3 linked regions of the Drosophila melanogaster genome follow. The protein of the gene in region 2 interacts with the protein of the main gene of each other region in a pairwise test. Each region holds a gene or a part of one and is shown on either strand. Other genes may lie near its edges. The genes, in order: GAA1, Pdzd8 and bond.

Region 1 (8,790 bases), 6.1 Mb from region 2:
AACAAGAAACCGAATCCGAATCCAAAAGCAAACAAAGGCAGAACAATGGTCGAGCAAATTGAAAGCTCTCGATTGGTATTCCTCTATTCCGGACTTGTTTTCCCACTTTTCACTTTTCATTAAAACAGAAGCAGCACGGAAGCGTTGAAAAAAAATCCGCAAAAAACAGCGAAACTAAAATTGAAGTCGCTCTACAAATGGATAAACTCAGTTTGGCAATGGATTTTATTTACAGATCTCATTCAAGGTTCAATTTATGAAACGATTAATAGTTAAAGCAATAAATTTTTTAAAGGGCCGTTCAAGTAGGTTCCATTATCCTTACATCCGCGATGAATGCATGGCTGTTCTGTCCAACCGACACGATAATGCACATACTCATACATATGTACATATATGTTGCACATCAATCCCCCTTTCGCCGACATGCAAAGTGCAACACCTCTCGTTCTTCGAACAATTTTAATTATTTCCACACGCAGCAGCGACGCACTCAGTAAGTCCATGGGCGGCAGAGGGAACCGGCAAAAGAGTGGTCGTTGGAGTGGGATGGTGGGGGGTGGGGGGGCGAACCCGACCGCAGGGAGTGTGTTGTTGGCTTTAACGGGGAATTAAGTCGGGCAACAGGAAGTCAGCGAGCACAATAATTAAGATGAGCGCTCGAGGGGCAATTATGTGACATCAACTTGCCAATTTTAAAACACCCCCGCCCCCCCGCAATCACGAACTCTCCGCATCCCTTTATCCTTCAGTCGAAGGATAATGCGAACGTTTTGGCCAACAGTGGGCTGTGTATAAAGATTTCTAACCATATATAAATATTCTTCGAACTGCATACTTTGCGACACATTCATACACTCAGAGAAAAAAACCTTTGTAAACTTGTAATCTTGGAGTTGGAGTTTTCCGAAACCAGTAGGCCCGTCTCCAACTGGCAACACTTCATTTCACCTAATTTGACAGGGACACACACAACACGTTTGCTCTACGGTTCGGTCGGTAGTACCAAATCTTATATACACTACATCTTCACAGTATAGCCATATATATATATTAATATTATCAAAATTTTCCACTAAACCTGCTTTGGAATGAGCACAGAACATCTGAATGACGCGGCGGAGTCCGTGAGTGCCCGGAGTTTGGCTTTGGATCGCGCTATCGTCAATTTGGTGCACCAGGCCCGTCGCCTCCATTTGAACAGCGTGAATGGCTATACATCTCTGGAGGCATCTCTGGAGAAGGCAGTGCCAGAGTTGCTCACGACTAGGAGTGATACCGCACACCCCACCACCACAGCGACCAGCTCGGCAAGGTCTTTCCCGAAGCGTAGGCCCAGTAGCCTAGCACCACGACCTGCGCCCAAGGCTTTCAAAATGCGCAAGACCGATACGCATCTGAGGACCCCACGTGTCGTCCAGTGTAAGACGGCCCGTATCCCGGTGACGCCACCACCACCGCCACCCTCGCCGCGTTGCCCAAAACCTGGGGAACTTAGTTCGGCCATGGACATGGCCGATCTGCTTCGGATCGAGATCGCCGAGACGGATGCACTGTTGGATCAAATGCTATTCGATGCCAAGGCACTCGAACGCCAGGTGGCGATCCAGTGTCAGTTGCAGAGCGATGCGGAAATGATCCGCAGCCTGGAGATGGAGTACAGTGGGCGATCCATGAGATATCTGATAGAGGCCATTCAGTCGGACTGCGAGAGCCAGGATGTCCAGGATCTCTGGAGCCGATGTCAACGCTCTTTGGAACGCCACGCGGAGCGACAGACGGAGCTGGAGTCCAAAGAGGGTCTGTATCTGGATCGGAATCCAGGCAAGGGCACCGGCAAGGGCACCCAAACCGATATGGCTGACTCTCAGGACGAGATGCTACCTATCTCGTCCAATTCGATTTGCCAATGGTTGCGAAGGGCGATGGGTTCTTTAAGCCAAGAGGATCAGGTGCAGGAGATGGCCATCTAGCGCAGGCCAGCCTTGAATAGTATTTGAATAAAGATACACAACTCTAAAATCACTTGTGTGCTCTGCTGTTTTAACGATGGCCCATAGAAATATTGAAAAGCTGCGATTAGACTAGAACTGCGAGGATTAATTAACTACTACTTGAAAAAGTATATATATTTGTTAACTGATTTATACAGTGATACAGCTCAGTGATTTGACCGAACTCATCTTACAATCTATCTATCCATTTAATAAAAAGATATTCGAAAATTTCTCATTTCTACATTTCGAGTGAAAGTACCACTGTGCCGCCGCAACTTTGTGTCTGCCTTTGAATGGTTGTGTGAGGAAAGTTTTCTTGTTAAGTTGCAGATTGAATGGCGCCGGTAAACACGGTGCGGCAAGTGCAGGGCTCCCAGCTTCGAGGACACCATGCATCCATGCCTCTGATTGAGCCAAATCCTGGCTCATAACTAATTGCCAGCAGCGACGACGATGGCGCTGGCAGCGGTGCAAAGTTTAAATTAAGTTGCGTGTCATAGTCGAAAAGTTTTCCACTTATTCAAAGAGGCACGTGCTCCACTGAGCACTACTCCACGGAGAAACTCCTGTCCTCCACTGGCCAATAACGCCAGCGAAGACGGAGGATTGACAAAAGAAATAATAACCAACGGATGGGAAATATATGCATTACTGCTTTACGTGCAAACAAAGTTGCAAATATAATGGAAAATCCATAAATCACAAGAAGCTACTGATAAAGTTAACCACTTAAGTAATTTAAAATGATAAGTTAACTGGGAATCAACATCGAAAATGCCGTGGTATATTTAATATTTTTTGGATTACATTTACACTTAGTTATTCCAACTAATAAATAGGCTTCTTTTATTTAGACATTTAATCAAATGCATAACATTTAAATGGAATTTTCTCTGCATGTGCAATCTCTTACCGCCATCACACACAGTTTTGTTGGGTTTATCACACTTCATCTTAGGATCATTTCCAGTTGATATATGTAGCCAGTGAATGGCAATCCGTGCTGTTCGTCTCCTCAATTCGTTTTCACCTTTGACTGCGGCTGCGGCGACGTTGATGGCGACTCATCGAAGTCCAGGTAATCTGCGTAGTCGCGTCGCTTGGACAGCGACAAGGTCCAGCAGATGATCCACAGCGGCAGGAAAATCGTGCAGATGACAAAGTACAGCCAGTTGCCATAAATCTGCAATAGGAAAGTATTTTAGTTTATTATCTATGTATGTTAGTAGTGGCAACTGAAATCTTAACTTACCACGGAATCGATAAGTCCATAAGCCGAGGCATCCATGGCCGCGGTGGCCGCCCTCAGCATGATCTTCTGCACCGGCAGCTCCGGGAACTGGTAGAATGTCATGGCCAGCACGATCACATAAACGACCATCATGGGATTCATGACCAGCGTGGCCAAGCGGATCGTGTTCCTCAGCGTGCTGCGCGAGTTCTCCTCCTTGGTCTCCAGCGCGATGACCAGCGGTACAGTCAGCACGGCCGCAAATAAGCCCAGGGCAAAGTTGAGGAGCCCGATGACTATTAAAGCGCAGCCATAGATTAGCAGAAAGGCCACATGCAGCAGCTCCAATCCTCCGGGCGGCAAAACCACCACAAAGGGCAGAACGAAACCGATCAGAGAAAGAAAACTCAGTACTGAGGTGGTCAGTGGTGCGGCGCCCATAGGAATCTCTAGGAAATATTGCTGCAGGGGCAGCACGTTGCACAGGAAACCAATCAACAGGGTGGCAGTAAGGTAAATCAATACCGAACCATACGGCAGCTCGAACTTATCCGGCTCTAGGTTCTCCTCCAGTTCCGCCTCCTGTTCGTGCTCCCTAAGCCAGCCAGCGGCCTTTTCCAGCTCAGCGTTGGTCGCCGGGAGCGTGGACCACGTTAGATAGGCCTTAAGGAAGGCACAAGCTACCAGAGCCACCAAAGCGGGCATATAATCCCCAATGGAGATGTAGCGATCGTTGCTTACGATCACATAGAAGAAAAAGCTTTGATGGAAGCGCTCCAGAAGGTTGTTCAGACTCCTGGCTATTCCCTCGATGGCCTTCAGCAAAGGCACCGCTGCCGATCCTGGGCTGCCCTTCAGTGTGGCATGGGTGGCCCTTCGATTGGCAGCTATGGTCAAAGCATCGATCCGATAACGGTGGAACAGCCCATGATTGCCAGTGGGTACGCCCGACGACTGGCTGGCCAGCATGGTCAGCATCTGGCGGAAGTTCTGCTCGAAGTGCGACTGGCTGTGACGACGCTTCTTGCGTGGCGCTTGTTTATAGCCAGAGGCGATGCCCTCGCGGGCCATAATTCTCTGCACCAGATTGAACATATCCAGATTGGGCAGCTTGCCGTTCAAGCCCTCTATTCGCACATCCACATGGTCAATCTCCAGATCCTGAACTTCAATATTCAGAGCCGCTTGCAGCGAACCAGCGCGAGCGGGCAAATTGCCAGGACGCAGGTACGCCTTGCTCAAGTCCAGTTCCCGGTCGCCATCGTGATAAGCCTCCAGCCAGGCCTGCATGCCCAGCTGCTCCTGTTCGGTGATCAGGAAGATCAGATCCTTCGCCCAGTAGTTCTTGCGCCGGGCAAAATCGGCGAAGGCCAGCAGAAGCGGCACGCTGGCGGAAATGTCCGTGTGCACGGAACTGGCAGCGCGATATGGAGCCGCAAAAACGATGCCCTCCGTGGAGGCAATTCTTGGGGCCCTCAATATGCCGTAGATATTCTTGCCGTGATACTCTTTACCGCCGCCAAATGGGTAGCGCAACGTGTAGTTGTGCGTGTGCGTCTCCAGGCCGAACTCGTTCATCTTGGCCGCAATCCAGGCGTGCGGCGTGGTGGACAGATGATCCTTTCGCTCCCGCTGCAGCTCCTCCAGCAACTGGATGGCCAGACGATTCGCATCGATGCGGATCTCCGGATAGACCAAGCCTACAATAGATCACACCAATTGTTAGCGGCTCTCTTTTGGTGACGCTGCACGTAACTCACCTGGCGAAAGAGCATTCTCGGAGAGATATGTCCCGTGGTTGAACTCCGGCAGCGCCAAACAGAAGAACCAGGCCACACCCGCCACATAAAGGGCGTAGCACACCTTGCGAACATGACGCGCCAGTCCGTCCACCAGCTTGCTTTGCGTCGATATCGACGGATCGGACAGCAGGCCCATTTTGGCTGCCCTATATCCTGTATATATCCCGAATCACAACAACACGAATCGGACAAGCCGGCGGAATTGTATCGATGCGGGCGTTATCGATAACCTCGATAACCGATTGCTTATGACGCTAGGGAGGAGAGGGTTAGCAATGGATTTTAATGCTCGAAATTTTAAACTTGTTTTTCCAATGTTTTCGATATTTCTATATATATTTTTTATTATATCAAAATATACATATTAAGCTAACCTACAAGAAATGTGTTGCAAAAATAATGAAAAGAATAACCTGTCGTTGTAAATATTTATTTAATTTTTCCTCTTTTTGACGTTAATGTAACGACGCATTTATTTGAGAAAGTACATCATGTTCTCAGATTGGAGTTTTTCTTTTTTACAGTTTAAATCATTTATTATTGTTCATTAGTCAGTAGGAATCGTTCAGTTCTTTCTGAACTTAACCTAATGTGTAGCCTAAAAGATATTATGGATTCTCTTCCTTAATTATAGTGTATAAAAATGTACCGTGGAGAGATTATGCTATCTTACGTGTAAGGAGTTCATAGAGATGTATTCTCTTCAGGCGTCGGCATATCGGCTGCTGTGGAAGTTTATTTGGTTTTTAACAAGTCCAGAGTTTTTCGAGATAAAGTAGTTAAAGATATATATTTCAAGAACACAGAAGTTTTTAAAATTTTTAAATGGTTGTTCCAAATTCCCTCTCCAAAAACATTAGCCAAACGAATTAGACATTTGGTTCTATCATTAAGAGTTACAACAGCCTATCCGTAAAACTCCTTAACTATAAAAAAAAAAAATTGTAAACCAAATGTTAAGTATTACATTGAACCTTCTGATGGTTCCATTTAGATATATGACTATACATTTTTCGTTTGGAGGGGTGCAATAGAATAGCTTATTCCTACGCTTTCTTTAAAAAAAAATAAAAAAAAAAAACCTAATCGTCATCGTCAATAACAATTATATGCGATGATAGCAGAACGGGGTCTCCAGGTTCCGTATGCTAGCCGGAATTTCCCGGAGCTCTGACCACTGCCGCTGCAGTTTGCGGACTCCAGACGAGGTAATCGGTGTCGATGGTCAGCTTGGGCTGCTTGAACTGCGGCAGCTGGAGGTGGTCTTGAATGGTCTTGGACGTAACGCAAATGACATTCTGGCCCTTCCAATACTTGATCATCTTCATGGACTGCAGCGTGTAGATAATGTCGTCGTGGGTGATGCCACTCATTTCGCTCAGCTCCTTGATTGTGATCTGCTCTGGAGCGCAGCGGGTTTTCATCAGCTCCAGCAGCGTGTATGCCCAATAGCTGCGATAGCTCAGCCTACCCAGATCCGAGAGCGGTTTCTCCGGACTACCGATTACGCCCTCCTTGCGCGACAGCTCATAGCTAAAGGCTATTAGTAGCTTTCCAAATCCCTTACGCTGATGCGGCGGCAATACCAGAATGCAGGCCACGTTGTAGTTTTCCAGCGACTTCTTTTCCTTGGAGAAATAGCCCACAATGTGACTGCCCTCCTTGTCCGTCTCGCAAAGGATGTAAAAGAGAAACGGGTCCATGTCGAAGTATAGAACCTTGTGGTCCAAAAAGAGCTTGGCCATCAGACACAAAAGTTGGCAGTATAGTGACTCCTCCTTGCCGTTCACCTCGTAAATGGATATATTGCCCTTGCGGTAGATCTCTCTTCCGGGCGGACGCCTGCGGTCGCATTCGTGCAGATGATAGGCATAGCTCGACCTGAAGCGCATGTACTTTAGGCAGTACTCGCAAACATATAACGTACGTGCCTTGCCATATTCTTCGGGGAAGGGACTAAAGTACCAGGTGTCGATCTCGTAGTTGCCAAACTGCAGCTTATCAATGTACTTGATCTTCGTAATGGACTCGTGCTCCTTCTCCAGCGCCGCCTGCGTGGCGGTCAGCTCAGCGTGGCTCTTCTGCACGTGGTTGATCTCATCGTAGCGCCGCTTCTGGTAGCGTGTCATCTTGCGGTCGCTGTAGTCATAGCGACTGTTCTCGCAATAGGACAGATAGTAATCCTTGTTGGCCGCACGCTTCTGCCGTTCGGATGAGGCAGCTGCCGCCGCGGCGGCCTGTTGGGCGAGCATTTCCCTGCTAGTACTTGGCTGATCGGGGGCTAATGGTGGCGCTGGCAGCACGGTAATACCGCCCAAGTCATCCGCATTGTCCGAGATCCTATGCCTGCCCACCCATCCGTCCAGGCGGCGATTGAGACCAACATAGTGGACGTAGTACTCATCGGGAGCGGCCGCATTCTCAGTGGTGCGAGACTGAAGCACCTGGCCACGGTGCACGGTGCCATCCTCGCGCCGAATAAAATAGATCTTGTCGGGATTTTCGCTTATATCGATCTTTTGCATCAGAGGGTCACCTGTTGTGATGACCGTCTCCCTGGAAGTGTTGTCGTGCTCCATGGTCAAGGCATCATCTTCGTCCTCCTCTTCCTCTTCATCGTCATCGCTGCTGCTAGTTTCGCTGCTGTCGTCAGAAATGGCCTCAACGTTGGCGCTAAGTACGGTTTGAATGGGCAGAACTACGGCTGGCGGCGGCATGTTGCGCTGGCGAGGATCACGCGGCGCCAGGCGGGTGGGCAGGCCAGGTGTCGATTCCTGCATGTAGCGAGAGCGTATGTAGGGGGATAAATATACTGCTGGTGGTTCCTCGCCGTCATCTGTGGGCGAGGCGGGAGTCTCGGGGACTTGTTCCGCTGCTGGAGGAGGTGGTGGTGGCGGTGGGGCAGCCAATGGCAGCCCCAGTTGTTGTGTCCCTTTGAGATGAAGAGGAGCTGGAATGGTAACCACCTCGGTGATTATTGCATTGGGAGGAGCATCGGGATCCATAACGAAGTCGTCAATGTTGGAACCACTGCCGTAGGGGTTGATGTCGGCCACGCAGATTACCGTATCGGAGGAGGGCTCATCCTCGGTTTCAATTTCCTGGTCCACCACCTCTTTCTGCTTCTGCGGCTGCGCGGGCTCCTGTGCCTCCAATTCAACTGGACCTGGTGACTTCACCTGATCCTGACCGTCCTCCTTCTTTTCCTCCTGCTGCTGCTGCTGTGGTTGCTCCGGCTCGGGCTCCGGTGGTGCCTCCTCCGCCTCGCTAACATCGTCGTAGCGGGAGGAGCTGGACGACCTGGTGGAACTAGTCGATGTGCTGCTCGCCGGCGTGCTGTCCTCCGAAATGGGACTGATGTCGCGATGCTGGCGCTTCGCCGGTGGCTCTGACTCCGCCGCGGCCTCCGCTTGGACACCGCTGAGGTCGAGCGACTGCTCCGCCGACTGATCCGAGCCGCTGACGTCTAGACTGGCGCTCAATTCGGCCGCCGCATCTTCAACCGGCGTCCTCGGCGGACCGCCAATTGTGTACGCATCGGTTGGCTCCTGTTCCGGCTCATGCTCCTCCTCAATCGGCTGCTCCTGCACGTGGCCCGCGCTGGGTGTCTGTTCCAGCTCCGCTTCAGACATTCTTAGCCACTAGATTTGTCCAATTGCGTATTTTTGTTCACTCTTTAGGGAAATGAAACGAAATACGGCGTGAAATGCAACCCTGATTTATCACAACATGTCCAGATAATCGATTATTAATCGGTGGT
Region 2 (11,130 bases):
TATATGGATGGAATAAACAGAATCAGTCGTCTAGTTGCAACTGCGTCTCAAGCGAAAATGACTGGGTCACATGTGCATATAATAAATGATAATTATATTATCCATGACTTACCCAGTTTGTGGTTCTCCTTGGCGTCTTCGCAACGCTGAACCACCCGGATAACTCCTTGTCCAGCGATCGGGGGGCAGGTAACGATTCCGCCGATTCTCGCTATATGCGGCGGAATACTCGGATCGTCCGATAGTCCGGACTCCTCGCTGGGATCCTCACTGGATATGTTCGTGTTCCGGTTGTCGTTGCCGTCGTTGGGATCGTTGTTGCCATTATTACCACCATTATTACCACCATTATTACCACCGTTCGGGATGTTTGTTATGTCGTTGCCAAAAGGCCGCATCTTTTGTGTTTTTTTTTTGTTTTCGATTGATTTGAACTAGTCTTTGGTGTGGGTATATTAATTTGGCTTTGTCTCACTGGGTAATCACTCGAAAAAAAATATGTGTGTTTTTGTATTTCCAATCAGTGTGGCAAGTGTGATTGGTTCAAGATATATCTTTCCTATTATTTGGATTGTTTAAACGCGAGCTACTTCGCAACCAACTGAACGTGACTATCTTCCGCATTGAAATATTGAAAATGCTTTTTACTTTCGGTTTTTATAGCACGAAGAAGAAAGAAAAGCTGCGCATAACAAAACAAATGAAAAATAAAATGGGAAGAAAAACAAAAAATAATAGCACAATTTGGCATTTTCAAGCGCACACCGATTCGCAGATACTCTTTCCTTGGCTCCGAAATGGTCATTAGCCTTGCGATACAAGGTACTATTAATTGGATTTTGCCAAGGCTTGATTGGGAGTATGTTTAAAGGAAATGGGAAGTGTATCTCATTTATTGTCATACAAAAGTATCTGTCAGATTATCGTATTTGAGCTAAAGACCAATAGATCAAAAATAGATACATATAGAATTTTGAGAAATATAGACTTGTTTCGCTGAGAACTGAAATAAAAAGCGACTTCTTAAGTTATAATCTAATTTCAATATATTATGTTCAAATAAAGGGGTATGGTGCAACCAATTAACCCCTTCTAAAGGGTATAGCTGCATCGTAACAAAATGTCTTGTCATCTTAAGAGCAATAGCCTCTGATATAAACAGTCCTTCTTTCTCTTGCCAATAAAATAAGCTTGTTCTATCTGCGGAAAAGTGTAAAAGTTCAATGCGAAAATAGAGAGTGAACGTTTGAGAGAGAGAGAGAGAGAGATGATCGCACCGTACACTAGTCAGCAAAATAATGGAAAACATAATACAAATAATTTAACCAACCTTAAATTACATATGATCTAAGACAAATGTATGCATATACATATATATTCAATATATGCAATTCATTTAGAACGGCTATCCCAATTTGTTAGCCAGTGTAAATTGGCCAAAATACTTATAGAATCGACTTTTACGCATCAGCCGTTCGCTGTTTTTTTCCAGTCAAAAACAAGTCGTATTGAACACCTCATTTCCATGTATCATATATGTAATTATAAATTATTAAGCAAACATTTGTACAATTATTCACGATAATGGCCATTTTCAAAGTTGTCAAGGCTATTCTACCCATTATCTTCAATTTGCGGGGAATGAATTCGATCAAAGAGAGCTGCAGAAATCCAAAAAGCCAATTTTAAGTTCTGCTCCCCAAAGCTCCACATTGCACTTTCTTTAAAGTTGGGAAAAGCTTTCGCAACTAAACATTAAACAATATACATTTGGAATACCAAAATACCCTATAGATACGCACATTTTGTAAAATAAACGAATAGATTGATCTTGTTTTTTTTTTAAGAATTAGGAATAAGATATTTTTGTATCTAATCTAAAAGATGGTCATTTCTGAAATTTCCTATCCTTTAGATGAGTATTGCTGCATCAAGAACAAAGTATCTTGTCATCTTAAGAGCAATAGCCCCTGATATAAACACTCATTGCTGCTGCCGCGGAAAAGTGTAAAAGTTCAATATAAATGGAGAAAGTGCGTCGTATATAAATCGTACATATAGAACCGATCTCCTACGCATCCGTCATATGATTTTTCTCTGTTCCGGAATTGTCTGTAGTCTCATTAGATCACTTGGTAGTAAAAACATGCCATTTTGAACTTGACATTTCCACGTTCACGTATCTCATACTTATATGCAGAATGCAGTATGCTAGGAGGCATAGTTTGCATGTAGAGAAAACCAATGCCAAAATATTAAAATCAACGTCAAAAATATTTAATTTAATTTGCACACACGCTCTTTACGTTCTCTATTACATACCGATATACAAACATTTTGCTATAAAATATTAGATGAATATCATACGAAATGTGATAGAACTTGGTTAAAAATGTTTATTTGCCAAAACAAGTTGGAACTCTATGGATGCCATTGATATATCCATTAAGTTTGGGTTAATCCCATATTATGTATGTACAAATCGGTTTCAAAACTGACAAATAAGCGTATTTTGATCGAAACGAATGGCTAAAATTGAAATACAATACTTCTAGTTAAGTATGCCACAACACGAATTAAAAATGCCCATTAGTTCACTAACACATTTCCAGTCTACTACTTAAGATTATGTACGAGTTCACGCGAATACACAAGTATTTAACCATTGACATGTAGCCCATGATCCCAGGATTGCAGCATCATCTACTGCAGCACCACACCCTGGGCATGTTGCAGACCCGTGCACAAGTACAGCATGATGATGCTGAGCGCCTGGACACGCTCATCCGATCTGTCCGATTTCCAGGGCGAGGATTCGGTGGCCTTCTCCGCATCGTTCATCAGCGTATAGCCCTCGGTCTCCGCATCCAGGGCTACTTTCAGTTTCGTTAACTAAACATTGATAGGATCATTATACATATATATATATATACATATATCTATCCAGAAGCCATGCAGACTTACCAACTCGTTTATCTTGGCCACACGCTCATCGGGCGGCAGGGCAGCGTATAGGAGTTTGCTGGTGCTCTTGGCCAGATTCATCAGATCCTCGTTGCGGGTGTGACGAATGATGGGCTCCGTGATGACGATCACCTGCTCGAAGCTGAGCTCCGGACAGTCCAAGGGCAGGGCCTCCAGGTGCTGGGTGACGCTCTCGAAAGGATTCTGCTGCAGAGCAGGAGTCGCCTCTTCCACAATCGACGATTTTCTGTCAGTATTCAAATATGGTATAAAAAAGGCACCCATATTAATTGGTTCTGCATGCGAACTTACCGCGATGGCGTGTGCTGTGGACTGGGAGGCAGGCTCTTGGAGTTCACCTGCTGACCACTGCCAGTTAGCGAGGATACGATGCCGGGAATGTCCAAGTTGCTCGCCTGCCGCTTGATGCCCTGGGCCAGCATCCCGGTGAGGCTGGATCGATGGACATCCAAGCCAGAGGCCGTTGGCGATTGAATTTGCCCCTGATCTCCGCCAGATGCAGCAGACGTCTCATCAAACGGAGTCGCACCCGTGCTGGAATCAACGATCTGTGGATTGTCGGCCTGTGTGATGGTGAACTCCGGTCGGCTGGCCATTGAAGGAGTGGAGGAGGTTGCCGGTATGGAGCCGGTACAGTCAACCGGACCGCAGACGGTGGCCATCTGGCACTTGACTATGCACTTTTTGTGGCAGCACATGGAGCACTCCTGGCACTGCATGGCGTCCTTCAACCAAATTTTCTTGCCGCAGAAGTCGCACTGTGTTGCCCGATGGAAGTGGGTCCTCACAAAGTCGTGTGCCCTTGGAGCGGCAGTGGTGCCACTAGAGGATTCGCCAGATGTGGAGCTGTCTGCCATAGAGCTCGTCAGCTTGAGGAACTGCGACTGATCTTCTGAAGCTACTCGGTCGCCAGCTAAGGGATTTCTGTTGGGAGCATAAGAATTAGTTTAGTCTTTTAATCCGTAACTTGAAGCTTACCTGGCCGGAGACTGGGACTTGGATGTGCTTTTGATGGGAACATCACCCACCGTCAAATTGGGATTGCCCATCCAGGAGAAGCCAAACAGAATGTCGCCAAAGCAGAGGTTCGGATTGAAGCCGGACTGATTGGACAGCGGATGCGTCTTTCTGGGGATCAGTAAATATATATCAAAACAATTGTGCATTCTGGAGTTTCCACTGGTGGTTACTGGCCAACTTACACAGCCTGCAGTGATGCCGGATTGAGACTGATCTGCTTGAGGCACTGGTTCAAACTGGTTTCGGAGCACTCGACGAGAATCTGACCGATCTGGACATTGTTATAACCCAGAAGCACACTCTCGCCGGCGGATTTGCCAAAGACGCAGACGTTGAGGAAGCGACTGGAATTGTCCAACTGGAAGCTGCACACGTCTTCCATGTGGATAAGTGGACTAAATGGACAGTCGATGGTGGAGTGCTGATAGAAGTAGTTGACCGGCTCCTCCACCTCCTCCTTGCCTTTGTCCTTATCCTTGTCCTTATCCTTGTCCTTATCTTTGTCCTTGTCTTTATCTTTATCTTTGTCCTTATCCTTATCCTTGTCCCGATCCTTATCCCCACTCTCTCGACTCATTGTCTTCTTGATAGCCTTGGCAATGAGGTTGGACTTCTTGGGGGAATTGGTTGGTGTTCCGCTCAAACTGGGCTTCACCACCAGGTGCTTGGGTGTCGGATCAGCGGTTGCAGCCTCATCCGTTTCCAACTTCGGTTGGCAGGGATACGAACTTGGCAAATCGCCGATATCCTCGTACTTTTCGAAGTCCTCCAGTATGGCATCGTTGCGAATAATTCCAGGAATAATGCGCTCAATGCGCAGACTAAAGACAGTGGCCTGCAGCGTCTTGACCACCTTGGCGATCTGCTGAATGGTGGTCACCGGCCTGCCTTCGATGGCCACCAGAACGTCGCCGGCCAGCAGGTTGGACTTGCAGGCCGGTGTATTCGGGAGCACGGACTCGATTCGCACCACCTGGCTGCCGCTCTGCTTGAAGACGATTCCAATCTGCTGGTTCTTCGCCTTGTGAATGAACACGTCCAACGAGATGAGCACATTCCGGCTATCCCGCTGACTGGCCTCGATAAACGGCACCGGCGCCAGCGTGATGGTGCAGTACGTCTCACTGGCGCCCGGATAGCCCATCAACCGGGACAGCTCCGCCAGCTTGACGGTGAGCAGGCCATTCGGTTGAATGTCACAGTCGCTCGCGTCCTCCTCCGCCGTCCAGTGGAAGAAGGGCTTGTAGCGCAGCTTGTAGTTGGGCAACGTGTGTTTCCGGCGAACCGCCTTTCGGATCTGGTTTGAGATCAGGTTGGTTATGTTCGACTGCATCTGGCGGCCCTGGTACTTCGACTCGATGTCCAGGATCAGCTCCGGATCGCCCAGGAAACTAATTGACCAGTGCGTGTAGGGCTTTCTCGTGAACTGCAGGCGCGCCATTCCCGAAAGCTGTTTGACTGCAATAAAAGATGTAAATTTAAATAGTAGGGATAAGTAAAATATATATGTACATATATATAAGAACATCATTAAATATTTAAATATTTTTAAATACAGAAAAAACCCATGAATTTGTTTCATTTCCAATGGCTTTTTCAGATTCGTGCAAGGCTGGTGGTAGGAACAATTAAAACCCATTCCCTGTCGCCAACTCACTCACCCCTAAGCGTTATCGATCCCTTCTTGCCCAGCACCATGTCCGCGTCAATGGAAGTTGTGAAATTGCCAACGTAGTTGATGTCCAGCAGAAGGTCGAGATTCTCGATGCGCTGCTCATCCTTGTCCAATTCCACGTTGTGCACCGATAGCGACTTGACGTCCGGAAACTGGTCGCCCAACTCGAGCTCTTTAATCTAAAATAAAATAGATGATTTGTTAGTACACCAATTAACTTTGAAACTAATAAAAGAGTATAATATCACTCTAACCCTTTTATTTTAATCAAAACAAAAAAAAATCTACTTCTCACCGTTAGCTTGTCCAGCAGTTTTCCGGTGGTAGTCTTGGAAATCAGTTCGTCCAGCTCGATGGACAGCTTGCGATAGAACCATTTCCGCACCCGATTGGAGTTCTTGAACTCGTGGAAGAGAAACTGCATGACAAAGTTGAGGGAGACCAGGGCGGAGGCCCGTCGGAGGCTCTCCTGATGGTTCTCGCATCCATTCCCAGCGCCACCACCCAGTCCGGAATTGGATAGCCTCTTCAGGTTCCTGGCCGTCTGCTTGATGTTCTGCGATTGTGGTGAAACCAAGTTGGAAATTGTCAATTGAACAAGGGAATTTACTCCAGCTACTTACCAATGGCAGGGTGTATTTGGCATTCGCCTGCTTCTGCTCCTCGCTTTCGTCGGGCAGATTCGAGAACTTGATGAAGATGAGATACTGCAGCAGGATCATCACCACTCCGCCGATCAACAGAAAGATCAGGCAGAGCAGCAGAATGTTTGAAATGGGTATCTCCATGCTGGCGATGCCTTAAATTCCCAATCTCACTCGAAAATACTGTCTATTCCTCCGGATCGTATTTGCTGGAGGAGCTGCGAGGCTACGATGGGACCAGCTGCGGAGTCCAAAGCTCCACTGGTCACAGTATATCTGATGTCAGTCTTTTCAATTACGTTCTGGATGTGCTCGCATTGTATCACCCTCGGCCAGTAGTTCGTTCGCCGTTCACACGGAGTTTGGATGCATCCGAATCGGAGCTCTTGACCCATCCATTTGGCTGATACCCTAGCCGATTTCGCCAATTTGAGGCTGTTCCCAGCTATCGGTAGCTGTAATCTTACAATTGTTACAACTGATGAATAGGCGACATAAAATCAATATGTATATCCGCAGCACTGGCAGCGCCTTTTTTTTTTTGTGCCGTGGCCACTTCGCAGTGCGCCTGCGCCCGGATCAGCTGGCAACCTTCCTGGGGGTTGATTCGCAGCCAATGCAATCCGGAGACCAGTCATCAGCCGGACCACTTGGAACAGCTGTTCGGAACGGTGCACCCGGGTGCACCCTAGGAATTCCTGATGGCAGGAAGTTTCAATTGCTTTGAGCTAGATAATTTCGAGAGGCGGTGCAGGCTCTTCAAATCCTTAAGGATGCTGGGATCCTTTGGTGGGCTTTCCATGGGCTCATTCATTTGTTCCATTTATAAACTAAAATAGTTGGGCATATATTGAAAAGGTATAAAAATCTACTCAATGCGCAAGTAAAAAACACAAGATGTGCAATTTTTGTGTTATTTTTTTGACATTTATTTTCTTCTTGTTTTTTTTTTGTTTTTATTATGGTATTCCTTTACATTATGTAAAATAAGAAAGTATTAATAGTTTTATTAACAAATTTGTTGAAGGCAGGTATTTATGTTATTATATGTTTATGTATGTATATCTTGTATATAAATTACGAGTCATCTTTATAATTACATAATTATTAAATGTAGTTTAATTATCTCTAGCGTATCTTAGTAATTAATTTAACTGCTTTATTCACTTAGTATATTAAATTAAGATATTTATATTTATATTTATGGTTTCTCTCATATATTTATGTATATGTATTATCATTACAATTTAGCCGTAACAGTTACATTCTTCTAATTTTAAACTAATTTCATTATTATTAATTTTGTTTCCTTTCCTATTCGCGTATCATCCCCTCTCACATCCTATATTTTATATTTCTTGTTGCTTTGTAAAAAAAAGTCAGATCTACTTACATATATGTATTTCCTTTTTATTTTTGCTTGTTTCCGTTCTTATTTTTTGTTAAGTTTTCTTCTTTATTGTTTTTTTTTTTTTTTTGTTTCATGTAACCGCTCACACCAGACAGTAAACAAATCACAAAATATACAGTCGAATCGTTAAGTTAGGGTTCAATGGTTAAATGTTTGCCATTTCAGACAGAAGTAAGCCACCTACGACATGAGTTAAGTTTAACAACACAGGAGCGCGGACCGTTTGGGTCACCTCAATTTTTGGATTTGAATTCAATTTTGAATTTTTTCGAATTGAGGATTGGCTCGGCAGCAGCCTTGTGTGCGCACTTCATCATGGTTGCATGCATATGTATAATGACTCTGAATCTGGATCTTAATCTGGATCGGGCAATGCTTTCCATGGCATCTCCATGTGGCGGGGGAATGCAAGGATCTGTAGCTGGAAGAACAATCGATCGCAGCATTGTGTAACAATATATATTTTGGTTTTAATTTTGTAAGTAAATGGCGGGACATGGTGCCCGAATTGTTCTTCCCCGGAAATATGTGATGTTTCGTGTATCGGATCCCTGCACTTGGCACCTAACCATACAAGTAGGAGTACATAAAGTTGGGCAGAGTTCGCGGTCGGCCAGCTGGGAGCCTTTTTTTTTCGAAGGACGAAGCGAAGATTGTGAGCATTAGAAGCGAATCGAATGGAATCGAGTTGAAATGGTCACGAGCTTGCCAATATTTTAGCTAACTAAATATTTCCTCTATAGGCATCATGAACTGGATAAGCGATACTGAATACTGAATTCATATCAGTGAACTAACTTCATACTTTGTACTCATTTCTATTTTTTTTTCTGTTTTTTGGTTTTGTTTTTTCTTGTATTTTTTTTTATTTATTTTCTTTGGTGTTTTTTTTTTTTTTTTGTATCATTTATCTATATTTTGTTTAGTTTTGGCATCGGGGCAATGATTCAGTAGTAGTAATTGAGCTAATGAGCCCTAAGCTGCCCTTCCAAGAACTCTACTGTTTTGTGGGGGATATCGCTAGTTATAATTCGAATGTTAATGTTAAGCAAGCGGTGCAAAATGAAGGTAAAAAATCGGATCTTAGCCTAGGACTGAGGACTTGAAACATTTGCCACGTGGACAAACTTTTACTGGAAGTAGTCAAAAGTGAACCTCGGAAATACAACGTGCAACGTGTATACAATTAATTAATTAATTAATTAATTCATTGGAGAGTGAACTTTTATATCGGCGATCTTTGTTCTATGTTTTTCCTTAGCGTTGGAGTTCCCATTTTATTTGATACTAGTTATAAACTATTGTATATTTATCTATGTAGGCGTGTATATATATATATATATATATTTGATGTATGTTTGTCAGCATCCGTAATTAAGATAATTATAGAAGAATACGCTTGTCGGTTACCTTTCTCACACTCCACTCTCCATTCTCTTTGTCTAGATTTTAGAAAATCGCCATAAAATCAAAAACCCAGGGTTTTCAAAAAAAAAAATTATTTTTCAAAATTATATCAACAAGACATATGATGACCGTGTCCTGTAAAATAAAAAAATCGTATTCACACAATGATTTTTGCTATTACAAACTAATGGCGAACGAAACCTTCAAATTAAGTATAAAAAAAGGAACTGAAAAATCCGCTTTTGAAACTTGGGAAATTTTCGGAGATTTTTAAAACTTACGGCTCACAGCCAAAGACATTATAAAATGGCGAGTTTCTAAGTTAAATGGCGATCTTGACCTTTTTTGAGTGTATATTTGGGTTAATCGTTTCTAGGTTAGTCGTTTTCCCTATTCAGTATTGCTCAGTTAATATTTAAGTATCGTACACAGCTAAAGTCAGCTCAGTTAAGTTAGTTTAGGGCAAGTGTTTCTGTTTGCTAAATGTTTTTGTTAAAGTTTTTTTTTTTTTCTTTTTACTTTCCGTATGCACTCGACGCTAGTCATCGTCATATTCGTAATGGTAAGTTCATTTGCTGTGTAAATTCGCATTACTGCTCAGCTGCTATAATTATTTACTTAAGTTATGGATTCTTTTCTTTAAATTACAATTATTGTGCGCTCTTCGATATCCCGTCGTCCAACATGTACGATTCGTCTATCTATACACATGATGACTGCATTTTTTTTTGGTAGTGAGTTGGAGGGGCTGTGTGCATGGCTATAGTATATTTGAATACATTACGTTTGGTGTGCCATGAGCTCTGCATTTTTACACATTATACACATTCAATTCAATTCGAGTATGAGGAGTCGGAGGTGTATATATTATATCTACACATGTTTTTGTTTACGTTAAGGATGCTCGATTGTGAGAACAATGACTTGCTTGCTTGTCATTTATAAATACATATGGACATCGAGTTCTTTCAACTGATCGGAAAGTTTGCGAGGAGCTAATTTCAGCATACGAAACGCATTAATAGAAGCATAAACCTCTCGTCGATTGCAGATTACAGAGTAACTATGAAAACAACGTTTCATTCGCTAAGGCAAATATGTATGATAAACAAGCTATTGTAAGTTAGCTAGAGTCTGTATAAACAAATGGCACTGAATGATGCTTACTTTACACAGATACATGCTTTTGGTCATAATTGAGTTATTTGGATCTAGTTTTGGACTTGGATTTGAATTCAATATGCTGGACTTGCCATGTTGCGTGGACTTCTACTAATCGTGGAAAAAAAGTATCCGCTCGAGTATAAATACACAACTGAATGTTAAAACCGTAGAGGACTAAATTGCGCTGAATTTTTGCTAATATTCGCTATAGGGATTCGGTCTGATGAAGGTATTTATAATAGTAGTCGTAGGTAAATATTTTACATACAAAAGAATAAAATAAATAACAATTTCATATCTACAATTATCTGGTATGTACATTGAGTAAATAAATAAATGTCGCATTTAAATACACATAATTGAAGTACTAACTTTTAATATAAACAAGTCAAAAACGCTTGCAGATTACCGTACCGATTCCTCGAGCTAAATTCTAGATAACTTACAATGTATGCGAGTACCTACAATCTTTATTTCCTATATATATATATTTTCGATCTAGATCTATGTGTGTTCTGCTTGAAAAGAGTTCTGTTATCGTTAGCTTCATTTTGATGTGCTCTTCGTCTAGACTTGCCCTTACATTAAAAAAAAAGTACAATACACTTGATCATATTCATATCTAAAATTATGTTGTCTACTCCTATTTCTAAGCAAATAGTAGCTCTAATCTGTTTACAATCTCCCCACGTTTACTCCCAATCCAATTGCGTGGAATAAAATCACTCTCACATTCTTTACACCTCGTTTCAGTTTCAGTTTGAGTTTCAATTAAAGTTGCACTTTTAGTGGATCTGGTTTCTGGTTTCTGGTTTCTAGTTTCT
Region 3 (12,011 bases), on a different chromosome or scaffold from region 2:
TGCAGCAGGAGAAGCAGAAGGCCTTGTAAGAGGGAGGAGCACAAACACCCACCGCCACCCACCCACACACACCACCCTCAACACACAAAACCCCTTCAATACTCGTACAAAAGGGCGGGTAGAAACACCCACTGAGAGCCACCCATGTTCTATGTGCAACCTTGTTGACTAATTTCTTAAGTAATCCGCCGCCAAATAGACGTGAAGCACGAAAAAAAAAAGAAAATCAGAAACGAGACGAATAGATATTTGAGCAAATGAGGTTTTCGAGACACAGATACACATATTATGTAAATGTAAATGTAAATGTTCAAACAGTTGAAATTGCTTTTTGCCGCCATCGTCATCATCATCGCTCGCTCCGTTTGAAGTTCGCCATCGTGTCGGGCGGACCCAAATGAAAGAAGTCGTATGTCTTTCGGCCAAAACTGAAACTGAACTAAGTTAAGTAAACAGGCAGAAGAAGCGTTAGTTGTGTAAATAAGTGTAGGTACGCATGCGAATGTGTTTTCTTTAGATTTTATATACGTGTGGTATGTAAAGTAGGCATTAAACAAGTGAAAAACTAGCTAATAACGAAACCATAAATACAAACACAATTTACAAATAAATCTAGAATTTTTTCTACAAAAATATCGTAAAAAAACAATGAGCCTTATTCTTTATCTTATGAATGGGAAATTAACGGAAGTGAGAACTGACACTCCTAGTGTCAATATACTGAAAAAGATCTCAACTTTGCTTTTATGGGAATTTTTCATATAAATCTGTTTTTATGTATCGTATATTTGTCAAAAAAGTCTGACATTTTTAATTAATAGATCACTTTATCAGGATCATGTACCCCATACTATTTCTTTATAGTTTGAATGATCTTGTTTTCAATACATTTAAAAGTTTTTTCCTTTTGACGCAATAATATATTATACTTTTAAATGAATTACTTTTCATTTAAAGAAATAATGAATTAATGCAATTGGCCTTGAAAACATTGCATATTCAAGCATTTCCTGTAATCATTTGTGTTCATTCAACTTGTATTTATGGTTTCAAGCCACTTTAATGGTATATTTGTCTTTTCGACAACATTGGGGTATCTCCCAAAGAGCAATCACACCCATTTGCATCCCAATCTAGCCATTCATGATCTCAGTAAGCCTCAGATAAATCGCACGAGGTAACCTTTGCTCAAGGAACCAACTCAAATCGATTGACCAGCTGATATATGTATGTATAACCAAGAACCTATTCATTCAGCAGCGGAAGCCAAAATGATTTAAATTTGAATGGGCGTGGCTAGTACAACTGGTCTATGGGGTGATGATCTGGACACGATCGGTTCATGAATTTTTACGAGACTCTGGAAAGACGACCACTTGGCCACTCATTAGAGCTCATTTCGCAGGCACCTTGAACGGCGGCGACGGAGGAGATAAGATTTTGATAAATTCCGCAGCCTTTTATTGATCAATCAGTCAAGACGGAACGCAACTGAAGCGGAAGTGAAAACGCATCTTCGAGTGGGGTTGCGGCCATCCGATGTGCGGATACAGTATTCAATAAAGCCGGTTTGGACACTTGGCCTTGATCTTGACCACAAACATGAGAAAACAAAGCGCAGCTCTCAGCCAAAAATTTCGGTTTTTATCTGGCCCCAACCGGAGCTAAGCTAATGCCAATATTATACCAGTTTTATGGTCTGATCAGCATAGATTCTATCAGACTTTCGATTGAAGATGAAGATCTCCGGCGTTATTTATATATTTACCAAGAAACTGGAAAAAATTTCCATAATCACAATTCAAGGCATACTTTCAGGCCGTTCTTAGTTTTAAAACCAACATAGAGTTTGACCTATGCAAATGTCGCAAAAACGAGGCTCATTTAAAATAACACGCCTACCCATAGATACAAATCAAACTCTTTTCCAGGCCCTTGAACTTTGACTCGAATGTGTACAAAACAACAAGAGTTTTATACTCGAAATCTGCATAAATAAAGGTGCTTCATGTGATGCTGGAGGCATGTGTGTGAGTCAAGGCGAGTTAAGAAAAAATTGATTAGAAATTCTAATTTGGCAAAGACATTCTCCAATCGTCGCCAGGGTGTCTAAGCCTGGCCAACAAAATGGACGGGGCACACACAATGTTGGATAATCATCGCAGCACGCGTACTAGGTTCTACACTCATAAAAATATGGTTTATTTAAAGAATCGTTTTTTAGGGATGCAAAAATTTGTGCTTTTGTTTTATGATATTTCTAATCTGTTCTCTGATTAGACAGTTGGCACAAAAAGAGGTAGTATATCTTCACTCAATCGACAGATATTAATCACGTTTAATGGTTTGCAGATCTGCATAATTTTTCTTTGCGTGTGGATGGAGCGCGTGGCCATGCCGTTGTCATAAATAATAGGATCCAATGGGATCCGGTTTGATTACCTAACCCAAGAGCTTCGCGCAGAAATAGAAGTCCAAAAACCCCCAAAACCCAAAACCTGAACCCGAATTTCACCGGCAAAGAACAGACACAGACTTTTTTGGTTTTATTAAATATACAAAATTAAAGTTTTATTGAATTTTTCTTGTTTTGCGAAACGATTTACGGCTGCATTTCATTAATAAGCTCTATCACACTAGCTCTCATACACGCTCAGCTAGAAAAACATTAACACATACTCAGTCACACAAACATGGCCACATTCACGCACTTAGGGTCCTAGCTACTTTTTGGATTTGAATCATCATCCGCCTGCCCGGCATATAAACATTATACAAGTTATTCTCCGCAGACTACAGACTACTGATAGTTGGTAATGGTAAAGGTAAAGGTAAGAGTTACGAACTAAGCCCCGCTCTAAAAAACATAATTGCTAACTGAAATCCCAACGACACCATTTTCGGCATCGCCGATCATTCCAGCTTCATGGGCTTCACGCTGTTGTTGTTCAGATCGATGTACGCCTTTCCGACCTGGCCATTCTGGAGCAGATGCTTACCGGCGTTCATGGTCTGCGGCATGCAACCCATACCGCCGGCGGCACGCAGAGCGGATTGAGCCAAACTACTGCCGGTGGTGCGACTGCCTCCATCCACGGACTTGGCCTTCTTGTAGGTCTTGCGATAGAAATTGCCGAACAGGTAAAGGAAGATGACCGTGTTGCCCACGAAGAAGAAGGTCAGTGTCTTGGGCATGTTGCAGCCCTTGGCGCCCACGGTCAGCATGTAGCCCAGGATGAGGACGAACTGGATCAGCTGGATGCTGGTCATGTACTTCTTCCACCACAGGTACTTCTGGTACTGGGGTCCCATTGCGGCCACCATGTAGTAGAAGTACATGATAATGTGCACGCCCGAGTTGAGAATGCCAATGATCACGCCCTGCTCGCCGGGAGCGTACTTCAGGTAGCCCCAGGAGAAGAGCACCGTGATGGTGTGATGGTACACGTGTAGGAAGGACACCTGGTTGTCCTTCTTGCGCAGCACAAAGAACGTCGTGTCCAGCAGATCGATGATCTTCGAGAAAAAGTAGAACCAGGCACCGGAATAGAGGGTCAGATTCTGCTCCCTGGTGCGGTTAATCTCGCACTTCTTCGAGAAGATCGACGCCATCACATTGCTCTCTTGGATGGACTGCAAAAAAAAAAAAAAGAAAAGGGGAAATTAATCCTCATATATTTTATTATTTTTAATTTGCTGCTTAAAAACGCTATTTTATTTAAATTTCTTATTCAAGTGCAGTTAATTTGTTCATTCATTAAAGCGCGACATCGATTTGCAATTGAATTGTATAATAGTATGTGAAATAAAAATTCACAAATAGAGTCTTCAAATAAACGAATTCTCTGCACAATTGGTTTAAATTGGTTTAGCTTAATATATTTAATGACAATATAACGTAGGTCGCAACTTTGTATGTTCGACAAGCACTTGACGCTGCTTTTCTTATTAAAAATGAATAATACATAAATCGAGATCGCGAAACAAGCTGAATAATTATGACGCTCCGTTTTATGGACTCACCGTGCGGCACATCCAAATGGAGTACAAGACCTGAAAGGCATTATAGAACACCATGATGCGCTTGAGGTCCATGGGCTTGCGATTCTTCATGTACTCGGGTCCGATTTTCAGAACAAACGCCAGATAGACGAGAACCACGGCCACCACGGGCATAGGTGAGCTCATTAGGAACCAGCTGTCCACCGTCTCATCTAAATGGTATTCGAATCATTAGTTTCATTTGATATATATGCATACCTATTTCGATTCAACTTACCCACTCCTTTTGAGAGGCCGGAGATTCGCTCCTCGACAATCTTTATGTAGTTCGTCATATTGGCTTTCTGTTTCTGTTTTCGTTACTGTTACTGTTTCTGCAACTGGCAATTGTCAATTGGCAACTGAAAGAAAGAGGCTTACGAGCTTTAGAAATTTTCGCCCAAAAATCGAGAATTCAGAGCCCGACGTCCGTACGCCGCGTTGCCGAAATATTGAATGAAAATAGGTATTCTAAATCGCGATCGCTTGGAGAGGCTCAGCACGTTTGTTTCTGCTCGGCTCGCCGAGGATCGTGATTTGCATTGGAATTTGTGCCGAGGCACGCCAAAGATTTATTAATGAAAGGCGCGAAGAAATCGCTTATTAAGTTATCCCCAATCGAATGATGAATGACGACAGCAAAGATAAGGGTGGTGCAGCTCAACGATATAACTAGACATATGTGAATCTCTCGATTCAATAGAATCGAACGAGAATGTCTTAAAGATCTAAGATTCTTGGCCGAAGCCAAGACCGCAAGTCAGTGACAGTAGAAACCTGAAAAAAATCCGGACTCAAGGCTTCATTTGAATTTCTCGCCTTGGCACTAAAGTTAATACTATCTTTGGCATTCATCTTGGCATCTCCCTGAACATCTGCGATTGTCTTTTTCAGCTTTACTGTTCAGATAAAATCGGCACGGCACTCGGAGTTTATGTTCTAGCCACTGGGGCTCGTGTTCTTGCCTCACATTGTTATTTAAATTGCACACGGAAAAAGAGTTTGATTGAAAATGACCCATCGAATATATTCAATTACACGGCAGCCAGAACTCGTTTCTTATGTAACATTTCGAGGTGTTCTCCTCATTAACCACTGACCTAGCCAACTCCAACCGGAACTCGTTCGGGCGAAGATTCTCGAATTTATATATATATATATATATGTGTGGTAAAATGTATATAGATTGGTTTGTATAATTAGCTGGTATGCTAGAAGATGTCCAGTTGGGAATGTCACAAATCGGAACGGTATAAAACTAGTTGTCAAACTTGATCGAATTTATGTGCTTGTACTTTGAATTTTAAAGGCACGGCCTGCTCTATAATGATTCTGGGATGACTGGAGTTTTGTTCCCTTCTGATTGCAGTAGCACTCTTCATGGATGATCACATGGCGTGTAATTTGATTTGGAGAGTCTGGCCTGGCCTGGCCGAAGAACAGAGCAAACACCTGCCACAGTCGCTAATTGGACACACTCGGCGTATGATTGATATGTTTTGACTACCGCCGATCGACAGCGACTGAGACTAGGTCTCTGTCAGGGTTAAGCCGTTCGCAATTGACTTCGCCTTCCCTTAGCCATATAGCCATATAGACATATAGCCATATAGCCATATAGCTATATAGATATAGGTATTGCCATTCCCAGACCCATTCGTATGCAAGACACTTGGCAATCATATAGACTGACACTGGAGACAGGAAAAGTGAGCTGGCTGCCGCATCAACTACATCATCATCATCATCATCATGATCATGATCGCAGTCGACCAAAAATGTGACGCCAATTGAAAGTCAGGCGAGTGTTCCGCTGGCTGCCTTCGCAGCTGCTGACGTTGATCCCCCTTCTGGCTACGCCCCTTTTGGATGGCAGCTTCCCTTTTTTGGGTAACCCCAGCACCTTCTGGTGCCACACTTTCGGTTAACCAAAGGCCACATCTATAGCCATTACTTCAGTATCCCATACGACGGCAGTGGAGCACAGATTCTGTGAGCTGAGCAGGTCTTCCGCCTTAAATAAATTAAAAATAAACGCAGAAGCAGCCAGCAACCACATTCTGCCGCGCACGCATTAAAATTATGTGTATTGTATGCATAATTGATTTTCGCTTTTGCAAATTTTTGTACCCTTTAAGAGGTGCTGCCTTGTCAGCAGTATCAGAACACTCGATATTTGGATACTTGGCACTCGGAACTGTGGACTGAGAACTGGGAATTGGGTTTACCCAGCACTCGAACACGGCTTTGCCATAATTTCAAATGTTGTGACTAATGCGAATAGTATCTAAATATCCATACGTCTGTTACGGTGCGGAAAAGCACCGAATAAAGCGTTAATTTTTACGAACTTGCCTCTAAAAATAAAAGGTTCGGATAAAAACAACTTAATTCGCCACTAATTCGAAATCTAATGAAGGCCGATGGGGCATTAGTCTTTCATCTGCGCATATGTCTATATGTAAATGTATCTGTATCTGCTGCTGCGATTTAAACGTTGTTAATGTGCCACCAGTTTAAATCAGCAAGTTTTGCATGTTTCTTTTTTTTTGCAACTTTGCGCCTAGAAGCTCAGGTATTTCGTGTGTTATGTCGCCACGTGTGTACACCAGAAAAAAAAAATATGATTTGTGTTTGGAAAATCCCAAGTACATGCAATTTATGATAGTAAACTAGTCTTGGTTTAAATATTTTTTTATTATTTTCCTTTCTGTTGCAGAACTCCTCAAAATGATATAGCTACATATATGCTGTGTAAATTGCAGTCCAATGGGGCGGATGTTTTTCTATAGATTACAGACAGCACGATTTTCACACGCACTTGAGTGTTCGCCGAATGACAACAATTAGCCATGTGAAATTCCCGAATACATTAGCCCATTGAAGTTTGGAAATGTGGTAGGTGTTGCGATGCAATCGAATGGATCCATAGAATCATGAGTACTGAGTAGATCGGGTAGGGTATGTAAACGGGTCGAGCACCCTGAAAATTGTTTAATTTTTTTTTCCACATTGTTATTTTCCCGACGTGGCTCCAGAGTGCAACAGGTTAATCATTTAGTTTTGCCTGTGTCAAGTGCACATGTTTTATGGTTTCATGCTTGCTTAGCGCTGTAAATTAATTTTTTTTTTTTTGCCAGCCGAGGCATTTACAGAGGAGGCACAAAAACGCGTCGAGTCAGCCAGCAGTTGGCAAACCGCAGAAACGCCACATAGATACATCCATAACTATAACCCACACGGTAAGAAAATGTTTTAAAATGCGATTAAAACTAAGCTTAGCAAATTCCCTAGCTAATTGCTTTTTGAGACATATATGAAAGTATATATAAATAGTTCAAAAAATCTGTTTGGCTATCAACAAAACTGTTTAGTTCAATTTTCGTTAAAATAAAATATATTAATATTATTTAGGAAACGCGAAAGATGACTTAAAAACCTTTTTCCCCTGTGCGTCTTAAGCCAGAGTTTGTTGCTGGTGACTTTTTGGGCCGACTGACAACCTTTAATTACTCTGTAAATATTTGCGGCGTTAATTGGATTTTTTTCCTGGCCCAAACGAAACCCTCTGCGTCTGTCTGTGTTGTTGTCGTTAGAAACTGTAACGGATATGGGCCGTGGTCTCTTCGTGGGAACAGCGACTTCTAATCTGTTTGCCTAACCATGAAATGTGGTCATCTTCGTGAGGGGGAGTGTTCAGTTTGGCCATAGTGTCAGGCGGCCATTTGCTTGGTGCTATTGAAGGCCATTTGGCTAGTGCAGCTGCAAATTGAATCGCAATCGATTACAAGTTCAAATCGTTTAGATTTGGCCGCCTCAATGCTGCAGCCAGAGTCTTGGCCTTGGCTGACTGGCAAAATTGCAGCTCCTCAAGCGAGTTTTCAGCATTTAATCTATGTACGATGCATTGGGTTAAGGTCGACGAGAAATATCAGACGGACCAATGGCGGTGGTGGCAGCAAAGTTAGCCAGGCTTAGACCAGCCACTGCCAATCGAGCTCTCAGTTTTTTTTTTGTTTTTTTTTTTTTTTTGCCCAAGAACTGCTCTCCAATTTATGCAACACTTTCATCACGCCTTTAGGTTGCCCCAAAAAATGAATTCATATCACTTCCGTACCTGTTGGTTTTTCGGCTGACTCGATTCCCTGCTTGGAACTTGGCTAACACACACACGCACTGGCGCGCACACACACACAATCGCACTACGACCGTAGCCTGAAGATTCAGTTACAGTTTACGGACTCGAAACTCGAATTCGGATTCGGACTCGGACTCGGACTCGACTGCGGCAAACGCCAAGAAGACACTAATATGGAGTTCTACCCGCTCGGCTGTATAAATAAACAAAATGAACGCGCTTCGCAGGCCGGCCAACATTTGACGCCGCCGTCGCTGGCGACGCTGGCAGCGCAGTCGCGGCACGGCCCGCACGGCGTATACTTAACCTTTTTTTTTAGTTGATTTTTGCGTCACTCGGCCGGGTTCGATACGATGCAAGTCGAAGTTGCGTTAATGGCCAATTTAAGTTGCGCGGCGGTTTCTTTTTTTTTTTTTTTATTTTATTTTTGCTTTAGAAACATTTAGTTTTGGTTTTATCTTTACTGATTTTTTGGTGCTTTCTGGTGCTAAGGTCAAGTTTGAAGCCATTAAAATGAATGTCTGTGGCGAGAAAAGAAAGCAAAACTGCTAACAGCAGCAGATAAGCCATGCTTTTTCTTGGTTTATTTTGAACAAGTTTATTAACCCTTTCCCGGTTGGCCAAAAAAACATGCAGATCCTATCGCAAAAAGAGCGGCAAAAAGAAAACGAAAGCAAAGAGGGAAGCGAAAAAGTACACAGTAAAAACGAAATATACTTCAATATTAGTATACATGTATACATATACATATATATATTATGGTATATGTTTAGAATTTAACGAACATACATAGAACATACTATGAGAGACTCTAGTTCATCATCATAAATTGTTAACAATTTTATGAAAATCTGTTTGTATGCCACTGAAAGTGTTTGGAATGAATTTCTAAAAAAATATATACATGCACTTTATATTTATATATAATGTGTCGCGATTTTTAGACCGCACGATGGAGTTTATATTTTTATTATGTGCTTTGACCTTTCAGTGATAACTCAGGTTAATTGGATTTTGCGTCATCCTCGCCACTTTCGTTTGATACTGTGTTATTTCTAAAAAACATCTCTATAAAGAAATGCTTAAAAAATTAACTACATTTTTGTAATAAAAATAGTTCCATTAGACCCTTTAAAATTAACAAAATAGATATGGATAATATTTTATATATGTAAGTTCCTGACACCACTTTTCTTTCTGTGTGCCCATTTAAAAAAACATTTTTCTAAAAACATCTCTATAAAGAAATGCTTAAAAAATTATCTACATTTTTATAATAAAAATAGTTCCATTAGACCCTTTAAAAATAACCAAAATAATAACATTTTATATATAAGTTCCTGACACCACTTTTCTTTCTGTGTGCCAATTTCCAGCTACAAAATTGGCTTTAAATAAACCGCTAGACAATTGATTTATTATCGCCGTCACGTCATTGAGACGAACTCAATTGGCAGCATAGTTATAAGTGCTTATATATATATATATATATGTGCCAATGTGGGGGATGACACGCCCCAACTCCATAACCTGGCACTTAATTTAACTACGCAAATAGGGTTTACGGGCGCAGTTAACACATTTCCAGATCGATGGGAAGCGATTGTCCGTCCAATGAATGGGTCAATTTCACGCACTTACTCTCACCAGTCTCCCAGATTCCCAGGTGATTTGTGTGACCCATGGTGATCCATGTACTCCACCCACGTGCTAAGTGCCCGGTCAAATATGCAAATGTTTGCCGAGTTGGATGCACTGCAGCTGTGTTGGTCGCCACCCTTCCGGGTCTTTGGCATTTCCATTTCCATTTGAAGCACATTGGCCGTTTAGCATTTTTTGTCGCGCGCTCGTCATTCAAACAGAAACAGCTCGCATTATCGGCGCTTCTCTTTTGTGATTATGACCCTGAACTTCAGCGCTACTAAATGTATTAATTCAGTCGATTAATACCGCTAGTCGGGGTCTGTGCGAAATCTGCTCCTTGGCCGAGTTTCTAACGTAGCTGGTCAGAACGCCGAGAGCTGATGGATGATATTGGCCTGGATTGGTCAATAGGGTATATCATCTTGATGGGCTGCCCCTGAGCAAAGCAAGTTCTATAGTCTTATGTTTGAAATTGAATTTGTTTAACAAAGATGAATGACTCTTGACTAAACATATTGGCCTTTATGTGCAATAAATATTCTAAGGGCGCTATTAAAACGTAGTTAAATTGCGCTATTAAGAGCTTGCCAAACAAGTGAATCTTTATTGGGCCTGCAAGGCTGGTGATATTTCCTCACTAGCCAAACACCATTTTGTCTTCCCAATTAAGTTTCTTTATTATTAGAATTGTTATTTGCCTACATTTGTGGGTTTTTATAACACCGTAATGCTATTTCTAAAAAAGCTATAATTAGACATTCTTGTATTACTTTAATTAATTAATTTAAATATATATATTTTAAGTAAGCTGTGATGTTGTCTTTGTTGTCTTTGCAAAAGTGTCCAAGGAATGGCAGATATGTGCATACTTAAGTAGGTTAAATATCGGGGAACTACACATGCTAATTCATAACTACCAGGCTTAAGTTGAGTTCATTGTTGATGTTTTTTAATGAGATGCCTTAACATTTTTTGAAAACAATTTCTCTGTTACTGAAGTGTTTACAGACTAGAGGAAAATTTTCTATTCATATAATATACGTCTTGTAATTTCGTCACGGTAATTTCTCATGAAAAAAAAAACAAATGCCTGTTAGGTATTTACGCAAATATCCAATATTTGGTCAGTTGAAGTACCACCTTTGATCGCCAATAAAAAGTTGTTAGCTCTCAAAAATGTTGACTAATAATGAAAGCACCTTGTTTACCGGGAGCAATACGATTTGCTGGCAAGCATTTTCAAATATGGCGGGCGCTGCGCAGAGTTGCCACATTGTTTTACAGAGCTGTGACTACAAAGTAGCGTTAACAGCCGTTAACAGCTGCTGCGTCAAGGTATGACCGCATTTCCTCCGTTCCCATATGATTGCTAGTGATTTTCCCTATCGCGCTTGCAGTCACACTGGAAAAAACACAGAAAAAATTAAATTAAGGGAAAACAGATGAAAAACTGCAATTGCACGCAATTGAAGCAAGTGCAGCAAATAGTTTTTCGCGCCAGTGTTGACTCCTGGGCCTGCCGTCGAAGCCACGCCAACTGCGCGACTTTCGAGTGGTAAGTGAATAGTAACGAAACGCCAGTGAAATCGAGTGATTAATCGTTCGTTTGTGTTGTGACACTTTCTGTAACTTCGTATAAAAAAAATGGGAACTGCGCAAGTGGAGTGCAGGTGGGGGTTAAGCCAGTTGGTAGTATTCCACTCACACGTGGCCTTCTGGCTGCATTTTCCATGCACTTTGCTATCTATATAATGGTTTCCCCGAAATAGCAACTGCACCTTAACCCACTGAGGATCCCACTCGCATTTGAACACCATCTTATGTAAAAACGTAATTGGCAGCTAAGTTTCCTAAGTGATAAAACACACAAAGCTACCAGATACAGACTTATGTGCTACGTACAACCGATTTACTGGGGAACAAAGGTCGCGCCATACTATATAGCAATGCGATCGGAGCAGACCAATAAACAAATAAACAAATATCGCATTTCCCAGACGAGCTAGCGTTGAGCTAACAAACGCTTAGCATTGCTTTCGAACAACTAAATTCGTATGTATCGTATTGAACAGAACGTATTTCTCTTACAGAATACTATTTGCGGAGTGCAAAACGAATCCGCGGGATCGTAAGACCATGGATTCGGCCACTAATCTCCTCGAGCAACAGGGCTCAGCGGCTGATGTGA

What was found.
Region 1: the proteins of Pdzd8 (region 2) and GAA1 interact in a two-hybrid assay, tested with the Drosophila melanogaster proteins (one large-scale study listed by BioGRID).
Region 3: the proteins of Pdzd8 (region 2) and bond interact in a two-hybrid assay, tested with the Drosophila melanogaster proteins (one large-scale study listed by BioGRID).

The regions. Positions count from the first base shown.
Region 1 is NC_004354.4:5,868,091-5,876,880, forward strand, and holds GAA1 (glycosylphosphatidylinositol anchor attachment 1), read right to left. Parts: upstream 5,268-8,790; 5' UTR 5,167-5,267; coding exon 4,989-5,166; intron 4,929-4,988; coding exon 3,250-4,928; intron 3,181-3,249; coding exon 3,013-3,180; 3' UTR 2,751-3,012; downstream 1-2,750. Other genes in the region: CG15764 (uncharacterized protein), read left to right, coding at 1,092-1,973; mof (males absent on the first), read right to left, coding at 6,179-8,662.
Region 2 is NC_004354.4:11,924,046-11,935,175, forward strand, and holds Pdzd8 (PDZ domain containing 8), read right to left. Parts: upstream 6,806-11,130; 5' UTR 6,469-6,805; coding exon 6,304-6,468; intron 6,237-6,303; coding exon 5,976-6,236; intron 5,860-5,975; coding exon 5,667-5,859; intron 5,464-5,666; coding exon 4,188-5,463; intron 4,114-4,187; coding exon 3,964-4,113; intron 3,910-3,963; coding exon 3,277-3,909; intron 3,212-3,276; coding exon 2,965-3,211; intron 2,893-2,964; coding exon 2,704-2,892; 3' UTR 2,379-2,703; downstream 1-2,378. Other genes in the region: sclp, read right to left, coding at 113-398.
Region 3 is NT_033777.3:22,547,026-22,559,036, reverse strand, and holds bond (james bond), read right to left. Parts: upstream 8,358-12,011; 5' UTR 8,159-8,357; intron 7,284-8,158; exon of another isoform or gene 7,182-7,283; intron 6,940-7,181; exon of another isoform or gene 6,761-6,939; intron 6,412-6,760; exon of another isoform or gene 6,350-6,411; intron 5,363-6,349; exon of another isoform or gene 5,142-5,362; intron 4,501-5,141; exon of another isoform or gene 4,404-4,500; 5' UTR 4,338-4,403; coding exon 4,280-4,337; intron 4,215-4,279; coding exon 4,024-4,214; intron 3,634-4,023; coding exon 2,914-3,633; 3' UTR 2,543-2,913; downstream 1-2,542. Other genes in the region: sit (stuck in traffic), read left to right, coding at 1-29; AdipoR (adiponectin receptor), read left to right, coding at 11,960-12,011.